Linked DNA regions of Tamandua tetradactyla. The protein of the gene in region 1 interacts with the protein of each later gene in a biochemical or structural test. Links are inferred from orthologs where the notes say so. Each region holds a gene or a part of one and is shown on either strand. Other genes may lie near its edges.

The links. The genes of interacting proteins can lie anywhere in the genome.
Region 2: the proteins of DLAT (region 1) and PDK2 form a complex in vitro, tested with the Homo sapiens proteins (2 studies listed by BioGRID). The link is inferred for Tamandua tetradactyla from reciprocal best matches to the Homo sapiens genes DLAT and PDK2.

The regions. Positions count from the first base shown.
Region 1 is NC_135334.1:29,233,184-29,240,661, reverse strand, and holds the start of DLAT (dihydrolipoyllysine-residue acetyltransferase component of pyruvate dehydrogenase complex, mitochondrial), read left to right. Parts: upstream 1-4,465; 5' UTR 4,466-4,537; coding exon 4,538-4,816; intron 4,817-5,235; coding exon 5,236-5,337; intron 5,338-5,654; coding exon 5,655-5,779; intron 5,780-5,938; coding exon 5,939-6,107; intron 6,108-7,478.
Region 2 is NC_135332.1:31,238,478-31,246,472, forward strand, and holds the start of PDK2 (pyruvate dehydrogenase kinase, isozyme 2), read left to right. Parts: upstream 1-4,966; 5' UTR 4,967-5,077; coding exon 5,078-5,195; intron 5,196-5,877; exon of another isoform or gene 5,878-6,069; coding exon of another isoform or gene 6,070-6,115; intron 6,116-6,347; exon of another isoform or gene 6,348-6,533; intron 6,534-6,783; coding exon 6,784-6,925; intron 6,926-7,995. UniProt on the Homo sapiens protein: Kinase that plays a key role in the regulation of glucose and fatty acid metabolism and homeostasis via phosphorylation of the pyruvate dehydrogenase subunits PDHA1 and PDHA2.

The DNA of each region.
Region 1 (7,478 bases):
TATAGATGTGTCTTTTTTAAATAGCTCATGTTTGGAGAATTCTTTTATACTTATTTGCTTTTTGTCTGAGAACCATGTCTATTTTTATAACTCGAGTGTGAGTTCTGTATATTCTCACATTCTCTGTAACGTGTCCATTTTCTAGAGAACCCAGTAACTTTTATACAGGCTCTTCTTACCATCCCTTGTGGTTTCAGAACAAGCTTTATTTTATTACAAGGATACTAATGACAACTAATTCCTATTGCAAATCTACCTGCCAACTTTAGTTGTATAGGTAGTTTCATGTAATTCATTTGATTTCTCCTCCAGCAGTCAAAAGTAGCCCAAAAGATATTTTATGTAAGTTTACCTGACCTTCTCACTATTGAAGAATTTCTCCTCAGAAATTATTGGGGAAATTTGGGAAAGTCAGTCACAAGCAAGAGCAATTCATTATGAAAGCAAACTGAAGAAAACAGTATTAGTCTCAGTTTTTAGCCCAGGAAGTTTGGAGAAAATGTCTTCATGTCACCAATTTCTTTGTTGCATGAATTGTAGTGTTTCACTGTAAGACAGCATGAGGGGTTATCAGGTCAAGCTTTGTTATTGTATTTCCAATTCAATTTATCTTGAATGTCTGTCTCTTAAATTGTTTTTTGTCAGTTTCTTTCAACTAAGCCTTATTATTATTATTATTATATGGAATTTTTCAGAGAAAATTAAATCAGAGAAAATTTCCAAGGTCCTCTACCTTATTTGTCTTCTAATCCTTGTGTGTTCTGTGGAAAAGGAGCTGCATGGCCTCAATGCCTCCATAGAAAATGAAAGTTAAGTTCAGAGGACAGAATGAAATCATTTTTCCCCATTAGGTGGTGTGGCCTGAGTAGTGATTAAGCATCCCTCCTGCATGATTTTGCTCTAGTAACTTGTATAAAATGTGTTGGTAGTGGGTACATGGGTGGTTCAGTGGTAGAATGCTCACCTTCCATGCAGGAGACCCGAGTTTGATTTCCGGACCATGCATCTTCACCCCGCAAAAAAAAATATGTTGGTGGCCCTCGTTCAAGTTTTTAAGGGGAGAGGAGTCTTCTGAAGAGGAACACTTATTAATTCATTCTGTATTGAGTCGCCTATTTGAATGCACTGTGTGTGGCTTTATTCTAGGAGGCTTTTTGACTTAATTATAGTATTGTTCCCTATTGGCGTGTGTGTGGAATAGTCCATCCTGCTACTGCTAAAGTTATCTTTCCTTGAGTAAATTATGGAGCTAGAATGTTTATAGAGTTCATAAAATAATTGCTACGCCACTTTAGATTAAAAAGTAAATGATCCTCTCATAAAAACAAGTTTAGTAGAGGGCTTAATCCTTAAAAAGTCTTCATTTATAAACTGAAGACTGTTCTCTCTTCTTGCTCAGTACCCTGAATTAGCAGGTTTGGAACACTCAAGAATTTGGGTTCAATCACTTGGTAATAGTAATTCTACTTACTTTCTAACATTTTGGCTCTTTTTGACCAGGACAGTTGTAAATTAGATAAAATATCTTTATGCTTTATCCAAGAGGACTTGTTCATAAACACTTAGGTTCATAATTATAATTATTTTCTTTCTATTCCATAAAATGAGCATTACGATTGCACATTCCTTCTATTGTCTGAATTTATGTCAGAGATATAGCTTGCTTAAAATACATTTATATGTAAATTTATATTTTCTTAGAAACATGGATGTTTGCAACCATTGCTTTCAAAGAGATTATTACTGTGTATTTTCCTTGTCTTACAATATGTTTTCATGAAGACTGTGTTATACCAGAGGTTTTGGATAATGGTGGTGATAACCAGTTTTTGCTGCCTGTATGTACCAGAGATTTGTGTACTAATTTAAAAAAACAAATAAACTAAGAATAAAATGGAGTTTGCAAACAAAATTTCATTAATCCTCTCCACTTGCTTATCAGTTGAGGATTAATCAATAAAACCATTTACATTTAGTGAAAGTAAATTTCCTCAAGTGCTCTCCCTGGTAGCATGTTTTCTCTCCACTTGAAAGAGTGGAGATAAGAATTACTTAATTGCCACAGATATTTTGCTATTGATATTTCTAATGTAAGCGCAAAGTAGGTTATCTGTTTTAGAATTCATTGACTTAGTACTTCTTTGGAAATTATATATAAATGTGCAAACAATTAAGAACCTGAGGCTATAAGCTATATGACAAAAGTTTCTTATGCAAAAGCAAGCAACATTAACAAAAGACTCAGAAACATGTCTGCCCAAAAGTTAAGTAGGCTTCATTTCACATGTTTTGTATATCTAAATCATTAGCCCTGAATGTTTTCATTTGACTTCCAATTACATATTTCCAATCATTGATTGTTATTTTAATTGGTTTATCCCACCATTATGTTAAAATTAAAAATGTACAAACAACTCAGATTCTTTTGCTTCCAACTATTTCCCCTTTCCATTTACCCACTTTGTATCAGTGATATTGCCATTCAGCGTGTCTCTAGTTCACTCTTTTGAGGTGTAGTCTTCCTTTTCTTTAATTGTTCCCTTTATCCAAACTGTTTAGGGGAGTGCAGGCCTGTTGTCCCAGGATTGATTTGACAAATCTAAGAATTCCTAGCCTACCTCTGGAGTAAATTTACTACCCCTTAATTATTCAGCTGTGCTGTCTCATAATTTAGCTACACCTAAGCCAAAAGCATATGCAAAATGCAAACTTGCTGTGTTCCGAATAATGCAAAACAAGGTTTAAATAAATGAACAGTAGAACTAAGAATCATCTTATACTTTACAACAGAGATCCAGTTATTAAATTCAGATGCAGTTGGAGTAAGATACTTTAGCCAATTTAAAATAAAAAATTTAATAATTATGAAGTTGCAGTATAGCCTTTTCATTAATCACAATTATTCTTTGATTGTTTTTTCCCAATTGTTATTTATTAGTAAATTTTTACATAATTGTAATAATACAGTTGCTCTACTCATAATTGTAATAATACAGTTGCTCTACTCTTAACATTATTGCAACTGTCTTCGCACTTAACATGGAAATTTTGTTTCTCAATTATATTGCTTGCATATTATTCTGCTAGGCTATGGTGCCTGCTTAAACTTCTCCTTATTTCAGGATAATCACTTTTCTAATTCTTTATCTTTTATAAAGATATTAAAACATTAAAAAACATTTTGAATTCCTTAAGGAAATAAGAATAGAGTCTTTGGGAATGATTTTTTTTCTGATTTTGATACTTTCCACAAAATTGTCATCCCTCAACAACCAGTATTCATTGCTCCCAATTGCATGCATCTCTTCTTCTGTAATCTCAGTAACACTAAAAATTTTTAGAATTTTTAGCATTTCCAACTTAAAATAAGTATGAAATAGAACATCATGGCTGTTTTAATTTTTTTCTATGTTTAATTACTGAACATGTTTCCAAATGTTGGTTGTTTTTTTTCCTGTTTCTTCTTGTGTTCCTGATGTTCTCTGACTATCGGTACACTGGGAATATGATGATACAAATACAGCAAATGCTTCTTCCTAATCTAATGTCCTCTTCAGTTCAGAACTGACGAGGTATTCTAATTATAGGACATGCCCACAATAGAAGTATATCTAAAAAATATGAGTAGATACCTCTTCATCAATACCAAAGAAGCGCCTTCAGCATCCACTATTTACCAGGTACTATACTAAAGTCTGGGGATACATGGAAGAACAATACAGACAAGGTCCCTGCATTCACCGGCTCATTAAAGTTTAGTTTTGGCACAAAATACTTTAAACCTAACAAAGGCTTTCGGTCTCCGTACGGGGAATGTACTTAATCCCGCAACACTACACTAGAATGTGGGAATGGAGTTTCCACTTGGCTGCTCTTCTCACCATCAAGTTAGAAAACCTGTTCATTCCAATTTCCGGTCGGACTACAAGCTTTGAAATTAAGTCTTTGCAACACAGTACTGCCGGCTCGGGGCAGGACCCCAAACCTAGTCACCGATGGATTAGCAGGAGGAGAGCGCATCATTTTACGGTTCGATTCCACTCTGTGATTGTTTCTCTACGGGAGCGCTCCAAAATCGTCCGTCCGCGGGCACACTTCTAGCTCTTCCTCAAAACTCGCCCTCCCTCTTCAGCCCAGTTCTCAGAGGACTTTCTCTGCCTTTATAGGTCCCGCTCCCTTGGCTTGCCTTTCACATCGCCTAGGCCCCGACCTAACCTTTGGGATGCTTCTCCTAGGACTCCATCGTCCTCGAACTCCCGCCACCTCTTATTTCTCTCAAACTACCACCTACTAAGGCTCCGCTGGAACGCCCCTTCTCCGCCCCCGTGGTTTTAAGGTAGCAGCCTCTACAGGATTTGGGGTCATTGTTTTCTCCATTCTCCCAAAACGAGGCGCGACGACACACACACAGACTCTCCGGAGCCTGTTTTACGACAATGTGCGGCTGTGCGGCGCGGTTGACGGCAGCGCCGCGCTGCTCTTGGAGAGGTCACTCCGGAGACGGCGTTGGGTTTGGGGTGTCGGGGTCTCTGGCACCATGTGGAGCGTCTGTGCGCGCCGGGCACAGCGTGCGGCACCGAGGGCAGGATTTGGGGCTCGGTGCACAGCCTTGCGAGAGGGACCCGAAGCTCTGTGCACGACCCCACGGTTTGGCTGTGTCCCGGTCCGTTGCACCAGTGCGATCACAGAGTATGGCGGGGTCCGGGCGCTTTGCGGCTGGAGCCCCAGCTATTCGGCCACACCACGGAACCGCTTGTTGCTGCAGCTTTTGGCGTTGCCTGGCCGTCGCAGTTATAGTCTTCCCCCGCATCAGAAGGTGAGCCCCCAACCGGTCCATCGCGGTATTCCGTTGCCCTTCAAGACAGACTTCTTGGCCTTGGGATCCTCCCGCAGAGACCTCAGCGAATCCCTACCCTTTCCCAGTATCTGTCATCGTCCTTTCCCCAACTCTTGAGCTTTGCAGTATCTCTTGAGCTTCCCTTTCCTAGTTTATTCCATTGAAAAAAGAGCTCCAAGCCTGGGACTTTTTGCGAAGTATTTGCTGAGGTACGTGATCACTGAGAACGTGAACTTTGGCAGGAATTGTTTTTTATCCCTAGTGCCCAGCGTGTAATGGAACTAAATAAACTCTTTGCATTAAACTAATTACATTAAATCGAATTGAATAAAACAGTGAACCAGACTGAAAGTGAATACCCCCTTTTTAAAGCTATTGTTTCTTCTGTTCTCCTCCAGGTTCCATTGCCTTCTCTTTCCCCCACAATGCAGGCAGGAACCATAGCCCGCTGGGAAAAAAAAGAAGGGGAAAAAATCAATGAGGGTGATCTAATTGCAGAGGTAAGTTGTTTTAGATTATGGAGATGACTTTGAAGGAGCTGGCTTAACTATGCTGACTGAGCATTAACGTTCTGGGTGGGTGATTATCCACTTTGCTAAATAAACTGAGATTTTTTTTTTTTTTTTACGGTTTGACATTAGAGAAAATTAGTTAATTTTGTCAGCATCTAGCCAGACTGACTTTTGACTCAATGTCTTTCAATAATTCTTCTTTCAAATCTGTGGTTTATTTACCCTGTTGAACTGTATGATCCTGGACACGAGCTAATAAACATACTGGCTGCATGAATCTAAACTAATGCTTTTTGTGTTAAAAGGTTGAAACAGATAAAGCCACTGTTGGGTTTGAGAGCCTGGAAGAATGTTACATGGCAAAGATTCTTGTTGCTGAAGGTGCCAGAGATGTTCCAGTTGGAGCAATTATCTGTATTACAGTTGAAAAGTGAGTGGTACCTTGATAATTTGTGGAACTTTAGTGCTTGGTGGAGTATTTTAACCCAGTATTGAGAAATTAGGGCTTAAAAGCTTCTGAAGATTACTTGTATGGGAGCTGAATCTCCTTTATAACCTTTCATATTTATGCATTCTTTCTTTTCTTTAGGCCTGAGGATATTGACGCCTTTAAAAATTATACATTGGATTCCTCTGTAGCACCTCCCCCCCAAGCAGCCCCAGCATCAACCCCTGCTGCTGCTGCTTCGCCTCCTACACCTCCTACTCCTGTACCTTCTGCTCAGGCTCCTGGTAGCTCATATCCCACTCACATGCAGGTGAGGCTCAGCTTCTGAGTGTTTTCTGTAGAGAATTTTATTATTTATTCGTTATTTCTGATAGATAGCTATCACCTCCTAGAGCCACATTCAACATGGCTAGTTGTTGTCGTTTTGGGAGTAGAGATTTAAGCATGGAAGCACACAGCCTTTGTACCTGTTATTTTCAGTTCTGTGAGCTAGGACAGTGCCTTTAACTTTCTAAGTCTCAGTGTAGTAGAGTGGATGATGTGTAACACTTCTTATTCAAGAACATTGTTATGGATTTTGAAGATGATTTGTACTTCTATTTACTCCCCATATAAATAGGTTATTTAGTAGGGATCAAGTGCTGTCTGTTGAATAAAGGATCCACAGTTGGGTTTTCCTTTGATGAGTAATGTCTGTTTTCTAAGAGTAGGTGAAGTAATCCAATAGTATTAATAAATGAGAAAATAATAAAGAGAAATAAGTGTAGACTATATATAGTATATAATAGCATTACAACAAAGCTGAAGACAGGTGTAATCACTGTCGATTCTCATAACTAAATCAGTTTTTAAGAATGAAATTAGTTTCTTGGGTATTAGTTATTCCATGTATTTTTGTATGTTAAATGTTGAGAATGAATAAACACCAATTGTCTTTTCTGAAGGATTAAGATGAAAACTTTTCATTTAGTTTATTTGTAGAAATATCTGTATAGAAATTTTTTTCTCCTCTGGGCATCATTTTCTACTCCATGGAACAGAATAATATCTATTATTACCCATTGTTATGATGAAGTTTTGCCTGGTATTCAGTTCATAGATTTATTTCATCTTGTTCAACAAGCTGTCTCACTATATAGGACTTATTTAATTTCTCTCCATAATATGTTTAATTTTGTGTAGAAGTGTTAGGATTGTGCCTTAATTATGTAGAGATTTTTGGCTCCAATAATTTTTTAAAAAATATTTTTGAGAAATAGCCACACATGTATAGTCCGACCATATTATACAGTTAGTGGCTCATAATATCATCACATAGTTGTATATTCTTCACCATGATCATTTTCAGAACATTTGCATCACTCCAGAAAAAGAAATAAAAATAAAAAAAAGAACTCATGCATCCCATACTCCTAACCCCTCCCTCTCATTACCTACAATATTTCAGTCTACCCAGTTTTTACTCTTTATCACCCCCTATTATTTATTTATTTTTATCCTTATTTATTAATTTTTTTTACTCATCTGTCCATGCCTGCATAAAAAAAGCATCAGTCACAAGGTTTTCACAATCACACAGTCATATGGTAAAAGCTATATAGTTATATAGTCTTCTTCAAGAATCAAGGCTACTAGAACACAGTTCAACAGTTTCAGGTACTTCCCCTCTAGCCACTCCAAT
Region 2 (7,995 bases), on another chromosome or scaffold:
GCATCTTGAGGCCCATTCTAGAAGTTGAGGTGGGTTCTAGAAAACCTCTCCTGACCCCTGCCTGTTGGCAGACCCATTTCCCAGCCCCTACCCCCTTCCATGGTACTGTAGCAGGGGAGCGCCCTCCCCTGTCCTTGTGCCTTCTTTGTATGTAGGCTTCTCATGGCAACCAATAAACAGCCCCCAGTTTGTACAAGCTGCACCTTCCTCCATCCACAGCCTCCCTTCCTGCCAGCCCAGCTCATTTTGAATAGCTGGCAAATAGTAGTGTTACTTAGTTAACCCCTAGGTGGGCAAAACCAGGTGCTGGGGTCTTGGAGACTGGGAAAGGGGAGGTCTATGGAGGAGACACCAGTTCCTGCTCTCAGGGCTGCACCAGTCTAGGGGATAATCATAGGCACAAAACTGAGACCCCAAACATGGAATGAGGGCAGAAGACCTGAGTAGGCTAGATGGAATCCAGAAGGGTTTCCTGGAGGACAGTGGGGCTGGCCTTGGGGAGGGGAGCAGGGATAGAGCTTGTCTTCTGCAGAATAGGAAAGAGGCAGAAAGCTACTTTGCTATAGAAACAGGTAGTGCTGGATAGCGGAGGAAAGCTGGGCACAAGGGTTGAGAGAAGAGAATTTTCTTCCAGTGAATTCTGAATTCAGTTAAGACCCTTCTTTCCCACCTTAGTTTCCCCACTTCTACCCCTATGCACCATGGTGAGTAGGTCAGAAAGTAAACCCATGACCCAAGGCTGAAAAGACCAAAGGTCATAGTGTCCATTGCACAGCCTCTGGAGCCCTAGTCTTTTGGAGGCTTTTCCAGGAGTATTTCAATGCTAAGCTAATGTAGCCCATGCATCTGCTGGCCTGTGGTACCGCACACAGAGCAGCAGGACTAGGCCCCTCTGCACAGCTCCCTTCCCTCTGGGGTTAGCCTTGCACCAGCTCTTACAGTTATATCCCCAGCCTGTAGGTTGTTCATCATTTGGATCTAACCCTGGCTTTGCTTTTACTGCTTCCTGTGGCTCCTGGAGCTGCTTCCTCCTCTGTGCCAAGGTTGGATCCACCATGCAGCCTGGGGGAGTGGAGCAACACTGCTTTCCCTGTCACTTCTTTGTCCTAAATTGTGGTATGGGTCCTTCTGTTAATTTCCCTTAAGACTTGAAATTACTACGCAGGGAAGACTAGAGGTGGAGCCCAGGTTCAGCTACTCTCAGATTCCACAGATGCCGGCTGCTGCCTGGGGATCTCCCAGTCTGCTTCTCTGTGACACCTGTCTGCCCTCCACCCCCTCCAACAGGACCTGCCTCACAATAACGTCCTGGGCCCAGTGCACCTCCCCTCTCCTCACTTTCTGTGCTTGGATTTGCCCCTTCCTAGAATGACTGGAAGTGGGGTATCCACTTCCTTCAGGAAAACCCCAGCCCCTACCCAAAGATGCCAAGCTCTTAGAACCCAATGATCTGAGGCCTCAGTTTGTTTCCCAGAATCTGGGTTATTCATTCGGTAGGGAATAACACCACAAGTGGGTTGTCAAAGCTCAGTTCATATTAAGCATAGGTGAGCCCAGCTCAACCCCGTTCTTTACGGTCACTTTCTGCTTAAGAAAAAGGCAGGATCTACACATACCTCCGGCCAGCTCCACAGTCCCAGCCTCAGTCTCCTAAGAGTGGCTGCTTGCAGAACACACAGTCCTGAGAACAAGTAGCCATTTTCATGGGTGATGCAGCCACACTTTGATGAAAGAAATACAGTTAGCAGAGATGCTGCTCTGCCCACAAGAATTCAATCCTCTAAAGTGCCAAGCTTCTTGAGCGCCATGGAACTGCAGCGCCTCCAAACTCTGCTCCAGAAGAGGGTCTTGGCTTGGGCATCACTAAAAGGGGCAATCAAGTTGATTCTCCCCTTTCTTGGCACCTGGCAGGCGTGCACTTCCTGGGCTGTCCTGTTGGGCTGAGGGCATGTGACTAATTCTGGCCAATGAGTTGTGAGCAGGAAGGAAGTGGCTCACTTTTGAGCTGAAATATTTAATTGCAGGTGTGAGAAGTTCCCAGTTCCCTTTCCCTGCATGTACTGCTGTGAAAGTGTGTGCTGAGATAAAGCGTCTGTCATTCTGAGTCCCTGAGAGTCCTCCACCAACCCATATTATCATATAGTGGGAAATAAACTTTTGTTTTTCTAAGTTACTGGGAGTTTGGGGATTATTGTTACCTCAGCATCACTGACCTAACTCGACAGATACAACACAACACACCATTCCCATTACCAACTGCAGCAATCTCTGCAGAAGGAACATTTCCCCCAGCACAGAATCCACATTATGGAAGTCTGGCTCTAAGGTGAGGATAATGGGAAATCTATTTTCCTCTCCTGCACCCAGCCTCAGAGGTCATGGCCTTTTCCTTTAATTTTGAAAATAAAAGTAACAGTTGATTATTTACTGTGTAGCAGGGACGGGGCCAGGCTTTTTGCATGTAGTATCCCATGTACTTTTCTGGGCAACTTGAAAACGGCACTCACCAACCTGATGGATGCGTGGTGGTCCTCACCTGATCCCGGGCATGACTCCTGCCAACCCCATCTTTTCTTTCTGCTCTTTCCTTCCTATTGCATGCCAGGTACTGTGCTTGGGGCTGGAGATGGAGCAATGAATAAGACAGGCTGAGCCCCTGCCCTCATGGAGCTTAAAGTCTAGTGGGGGAGATAGATGCATCAACAAGTAATCACCACCCAATGTGATGGTGATAAGAGCTAAATTAGTGCTAAGGACAGCAGTTCTCAGGAGGGCTTAGAGGAATCCCAGAACCCAGCCTGGTAGGGTCAGGGAAGGCTTCCTGGAGGAAGGAGTGACAAAGTAGCTGAGACCTGAAGAATGGGTAGCTAAAGGTGCAAAGAAAGAAGGATCCAAGCAGAAGAGACAGCATGTGCCACAGCTTGGAGACCAGAGGCTTCATTGGCAATCGTACTTAAGGCAACAGATGATGAAGCATGGCTGGGATTTGAGCAGGGGAATGTGGAGAGATGAGGCTGAGGAGTTAAGCTAAAGCAGATCATGTAAGAGCTGAAAAGGCTCTGTGTTCTAGTTAGCTAGGCTGCCAAAAGCAGTTACCATAAGATGGGTTGGCTTTTAGTAATGGGAGTTTATTAGCTTACAAGCTCACAGTTCTGAGGTCCTGGACATGTCCAAATCAAGGCATCATCAAGATGATACCTTCTTCCTGAAGACTGGCTGCTGGAGATCCTGTATTCTTCTGTCACACAGCAAGGCACATGGTGGCCTCTGCTGGCCTCTCCCTTCTCTTTCCAGTTTTGTTGTTTTCAGCTTCTTGCTTTTGTGGCTTTCTCTCTCTTTGTATGAATTTCATTCTTTTATAAAGGACTCCAATAAGAGGACTAAGACGCATTCTAAATGAGGTGGGTGACATCTTAAGATCCAACTCACCAAAAAATCCTACTTACAATGGGTTCACACCCACTGGAATGGCTTAGCTTTAAAATACACTTTTATGGGGGTACATACAGCTTCAAACCATCACACTCCAATAAGGAGTGGAGCAGTTGAAAAGCTGGGAGTAGGGAAGTAACACGGTCAGAGTTGCCATTAAGAATGACCCTTGCGCCTGTTTCCTCATCTATCAAATGTGGACAATAATCGTCCAATAAGTTGCCTTGAGAATTAAATGAGATAATGCGTGCAGACAGTGCCTGGCACATAGACTATTCTTCATTCAGCTGAGAGTCCTATTAGTGTTGGTTCTAATAGGACTGTGTAACTCTTTTATTTACTTAGGCAGCTATCTCCCAAAGTGAACAATGACGTGCTGGGGGAAAAGACCGTGTCTCCATCCTGTTTGTGTTTCCAGTTCCCAGCACAAAGCCTGGCACACATTAGGCACTTGCTAAGTGTGAGCCAACCACTGAAGCATCAAAGACAGCTGGCAAGAAAGGTTTGAGTCGGCCTCTCCGCCGGGGACAGGACATACCATGTTTGACCACAAGAGGGCGCGCTACGTTCCTACGAGACCGGCGGGCTGCTGGGAAAGGGGGGAGGGCCGGGAGAGGGCACCACCCAGCACCGACCCCATCCCGGCCCCCTCTCCCGCTCCCGCCCTGACTCCGGGCAAGTCGCCTCCCGGGACCTCCCTCCTGGGAAGCCGATGTTGCTTTCTCAGTTGGTCGTGCTAGATATCCAAGGATTCACGTTTAGTCAAATGAGCGAGAGAACAATGAAGATGAGAGGGTCTGGGAAACTGCGCTCCAAGCACTGATGTTTGTGTCGCCGCCGCCGCTAGTCTTTTAGGGCTTTGACTCTGGGTGTTGAGTTTCACCTGGAAACGTAAAATGCCGTCCTTTCCCGAGTCACTTGGATCTTTGTAGAAGTGGGGGGCTGCACCAATACTTGAGGGATTAATACAGGCTTGAATCCCGATTCCGAATTTTGCAAATAGTCACAGCCTGGCTCACTGTCACTGAAACCGTCCGAGGAGACTGGTTGCTGGAGGGTTGGGGAGAGTCGGGATCCGGACTGGAGGCCCACGAGACACTCAGGGAGAGCAGGAAGGGCGCGAGACAGGTGAAACGGGTACCTTGGGGGCATTCATGGAAAGCTACCTGGACCACACCAGTGAAGGAGCCAGCAAGTGAGGGAGATGTGGGCAGAGGGCCGGGGAAGAGGAGGGGAGGGAACTCACGGACCTCTGGGGAGGCCGGGGTTAACTCGGGCCACGCCCCGGGAGGCGAGCGAAGAGAGAAAAGGCTGCCCAAGGGAGGTCGGCGCCGCCTCGGGAAAACAACGGCTCGCGGGGGGCCAAGACGGGGTTAAGGAGGCGGGCCCAGGGCGAAGCCACGTGCCGGAGCAAAAGGCTATTGGTTCTCCCGGACTTGTTTGTGCGCGGCCCATTGGCGACGCCTGGGCGCCGCGACGAGCCGATTGGCCGGGGCTGGGAGGCCCCCGCCAGGGTCGGGTTGGGGGAGGCGGTGGCGGAACCGCGTCGCGGGACCGGGCTGGGCCGGGCTGGGCCAAGCCGAGCGTGAGTACCGCCCGCGCGGGGACCGGAGCCCGAGCCCGAGGTGCGGCCGCCGTCGCCGCCATGCGCTGGGTTCGAGCGCTGCTGAAGAATGCGTCCCTGGCAGGGGCGCCCAAGTACATCGAGCACTTTAGCAAGTTCTCCCCGTCCCCGTTGTCCATGAAGCAGTTTCTGGACTTCGGTACGGAGCGGGCGTGAAGCGGCTGACCGCGGGGGCCAGCGGGGACCCGCGGGGGGCTGGGAGGAGGGGCAGCCGGGCGTGGTCCGGGTAAATGAAGGTGTCCTGCCAATGACGGAGTAGGGGAAGAAGATAGGCCCTGGGTGACAGGGAAGGTTTGCTAGGAAGAATACAGGCAGGAAAGGGTTAACGGAGAAAAGCAAAGCCCTGGGCCTGAGAGGGTTAAGGGAACCCTAACTGAAGAGAAACGCGACTGAACTGTTAATGGGAAGTGTCTGAATGGGAGCACTGAGAAAGAGGGGTCCAAGTTTCCTTCCTGGGCTTTATGGGCGGCCTGGGGAAATGAGGGGTAGTGGGGGGGGCTATTTGGGCAGAAAGGGAGCAGAGTGATACCCAGGCACAGAAAGGTTAATGGGGGTGGGGTGGAGGGTGTTGGTGGGAGTACTAGGGCCGGTTGGAGAGGTGCAGGCATCTGGAAGGAGCCTGCATATGGTAGGATCAGAGACTCCTGGGCAGAGAGTGAGAGAAAGCAATGGCAGTTAGGGATGGGGCCCCTCTCAGAAGATGATGCCAACCCAGGGGGAGGGCCCTGACCAGTGTACCTCCATTCACTGAAGGAGCTGCTTCCCTGGCTACCCCAGCAGGCAAGGACACTTGAAGATCAAATCTGCCTGGGCCTGGCAGTCTGTCCCCCTCTGGACAGGGGCCCGAGGCACCATGAGGTGCAGTCAGGCTGCTTGTACCCATCCTTGGCTGCCCCTGGATTCCTGAGCCAGGATTGCCCACCGCTGGCATCCAGGGGGTAGCTCTGGGGCAGGAGCAAGACTGTGCCAACGCGGCGGCTGAAGCAGGCATTGTGTGGGCTCTGTCTGTCCACATGGCATTTCCGTGGTGCCAGCTGGCGATTGGGAGGGGCTGCCCAGGTCGGTAAACAGTTTAGAAGATAGTGCCTGGCTCAGGTTACAGCTACCTCGCTGATGGGAAGGGGTGGGGAGGTGGCAGCAAGGACACAGGAAACCTGTTCCCCAGGACTGCGCTACCTGCCCCTCTGTCCTGTTTCAGTCTTGAGCGTCCCCCCACGTGGGCCGTTCCTCACCCTCAACAGCTGCCCAGCCCAGACTGGACCCCAGTCACTGAAATGTCACAGTTGGGAGGGGCTCCCAGGAGAGCTGGGCTCACAAGTAGTACCATGGGGAGAACTGCAACCTTCAAGAAGGAGGGTGCTATGCCCTGGGTGACAGAGTTGGAAGTGGAGCCTGGGCGAGCAACCAGGTCTCTTGACTCCAGGCCATGTTCTTATTCAGGGGATCTTCTACCCCTCAAGCCAGACTGAGGACTCAGGTATTTGGGCTCCCACCTTCAGGCTCTGCTTGCCTCAGGGGTGTGCATTCATGCAGGGAGCTGAATGGTAGGCAGGGTGGTGCAGATGTTTGGGCACTAAAGGAAGCGAGGTGAGCTGCCTTGTGGTCTGCCCTTAGGCAGGTCACTTGACCTCTGAACCCTCAGTAAATGAAGGGTTTAGCTGAGCTGACCCCAAGCCATCATAGATGGTTTGTAGTCCTGTGGACTCACCCCTGTGTCCCACCTCTAGGGTCCAGCAATGCCTGTGAGAAGACGTCCTTTACCTTCCTCAGGCAGGAGCTGCCCGTGCGCCTGGCCAACATCATGAAGGAGATCAATCTGCTTCCCGACCGGGTGCTGAGCACACCCTCGGTGCAGCTGGTGCAGAGCTGGTGAGACCCCTGCCCACGCGTCCCGGGCTCAGGGATGGAGTCTCCAAGCTGGGGACAGAGGGGAGGCACAGGGGCTCAGAAAGGCTGAAGGCTTGCCTGAGGCCACATAGGAATCATAGGCCAAAGCGGGGGGCTGAGATCATGTTCCCGGCCTCCAGAGTCTGCAGCCAGCCCGACCCATACTCTCCTCCTTCCTCTAGAAGCCCACGATCTACCTGGGAAATCAGTGTTCACAGCCAAGCCCCATATTAGGCCCTGGTCCTGGAACTCCAGCCCATGCTGGTGTTAACCCTGTTGGGTAATATTTATCTGGGGCAGCTTTATGTGAAAAAGAAACAAGAAGAAGCAAATCTCTACCAGATGAACAAATTCTACAATTTAAGCTACAGATCAGACTGTTTTGAATGTGGAAAACGTTCAGGGGGGTGGCATGAAACCTACCCCAAGTAGCTTTGAAGGGGCAAAGGCCAAACGTTTATTGCATGTAGCAGCAGTAACGGGAAAGCCCTCAGTCAAGTTCACTCCAGAACTCTGTGCAAGGTTAAGTAACTAGTAACTTCAGCCAGTGGCTGGTCACGTGAAGAATGAACAAGGGTTTAAACGCTCTATAACTGTAATCCTTGGCCTTTAGTGACACCCTAGTAAAAACTTCTGCTAGGTCTTCTGGACGCTGTATGGCATGCTGTGACTTCTTTCATGGATTCAAGCATGGGACCTGAGCTGAGCCCTGCGGTGTGCTGGGTCTAAGAAAACGGCAGCAGCTGCCCTCAGGGAATCCGTGAGCTCACAGGGGAAAATAGAACTTGCCAAGGCAGGGTGAACTAAGTACGGCATACGTAATGGGAGGAGCAGTGAGCTGCTGCAGGCTTAGTTTTATTTAAATTAAGAACTAAGATGTTGTTTTTTACAACAACAATATCTTAGTTCTTAATTTAACATTAAGTTAATATTTTAATATTTTAAAAATACTTTTATTGTGATATCTTCGCATGCCATACAGACCATCCAAAGTATACAATTGGTAGCTCACAGTATCATCGCATAGTTATGTATTTATCATCGTGATTGTT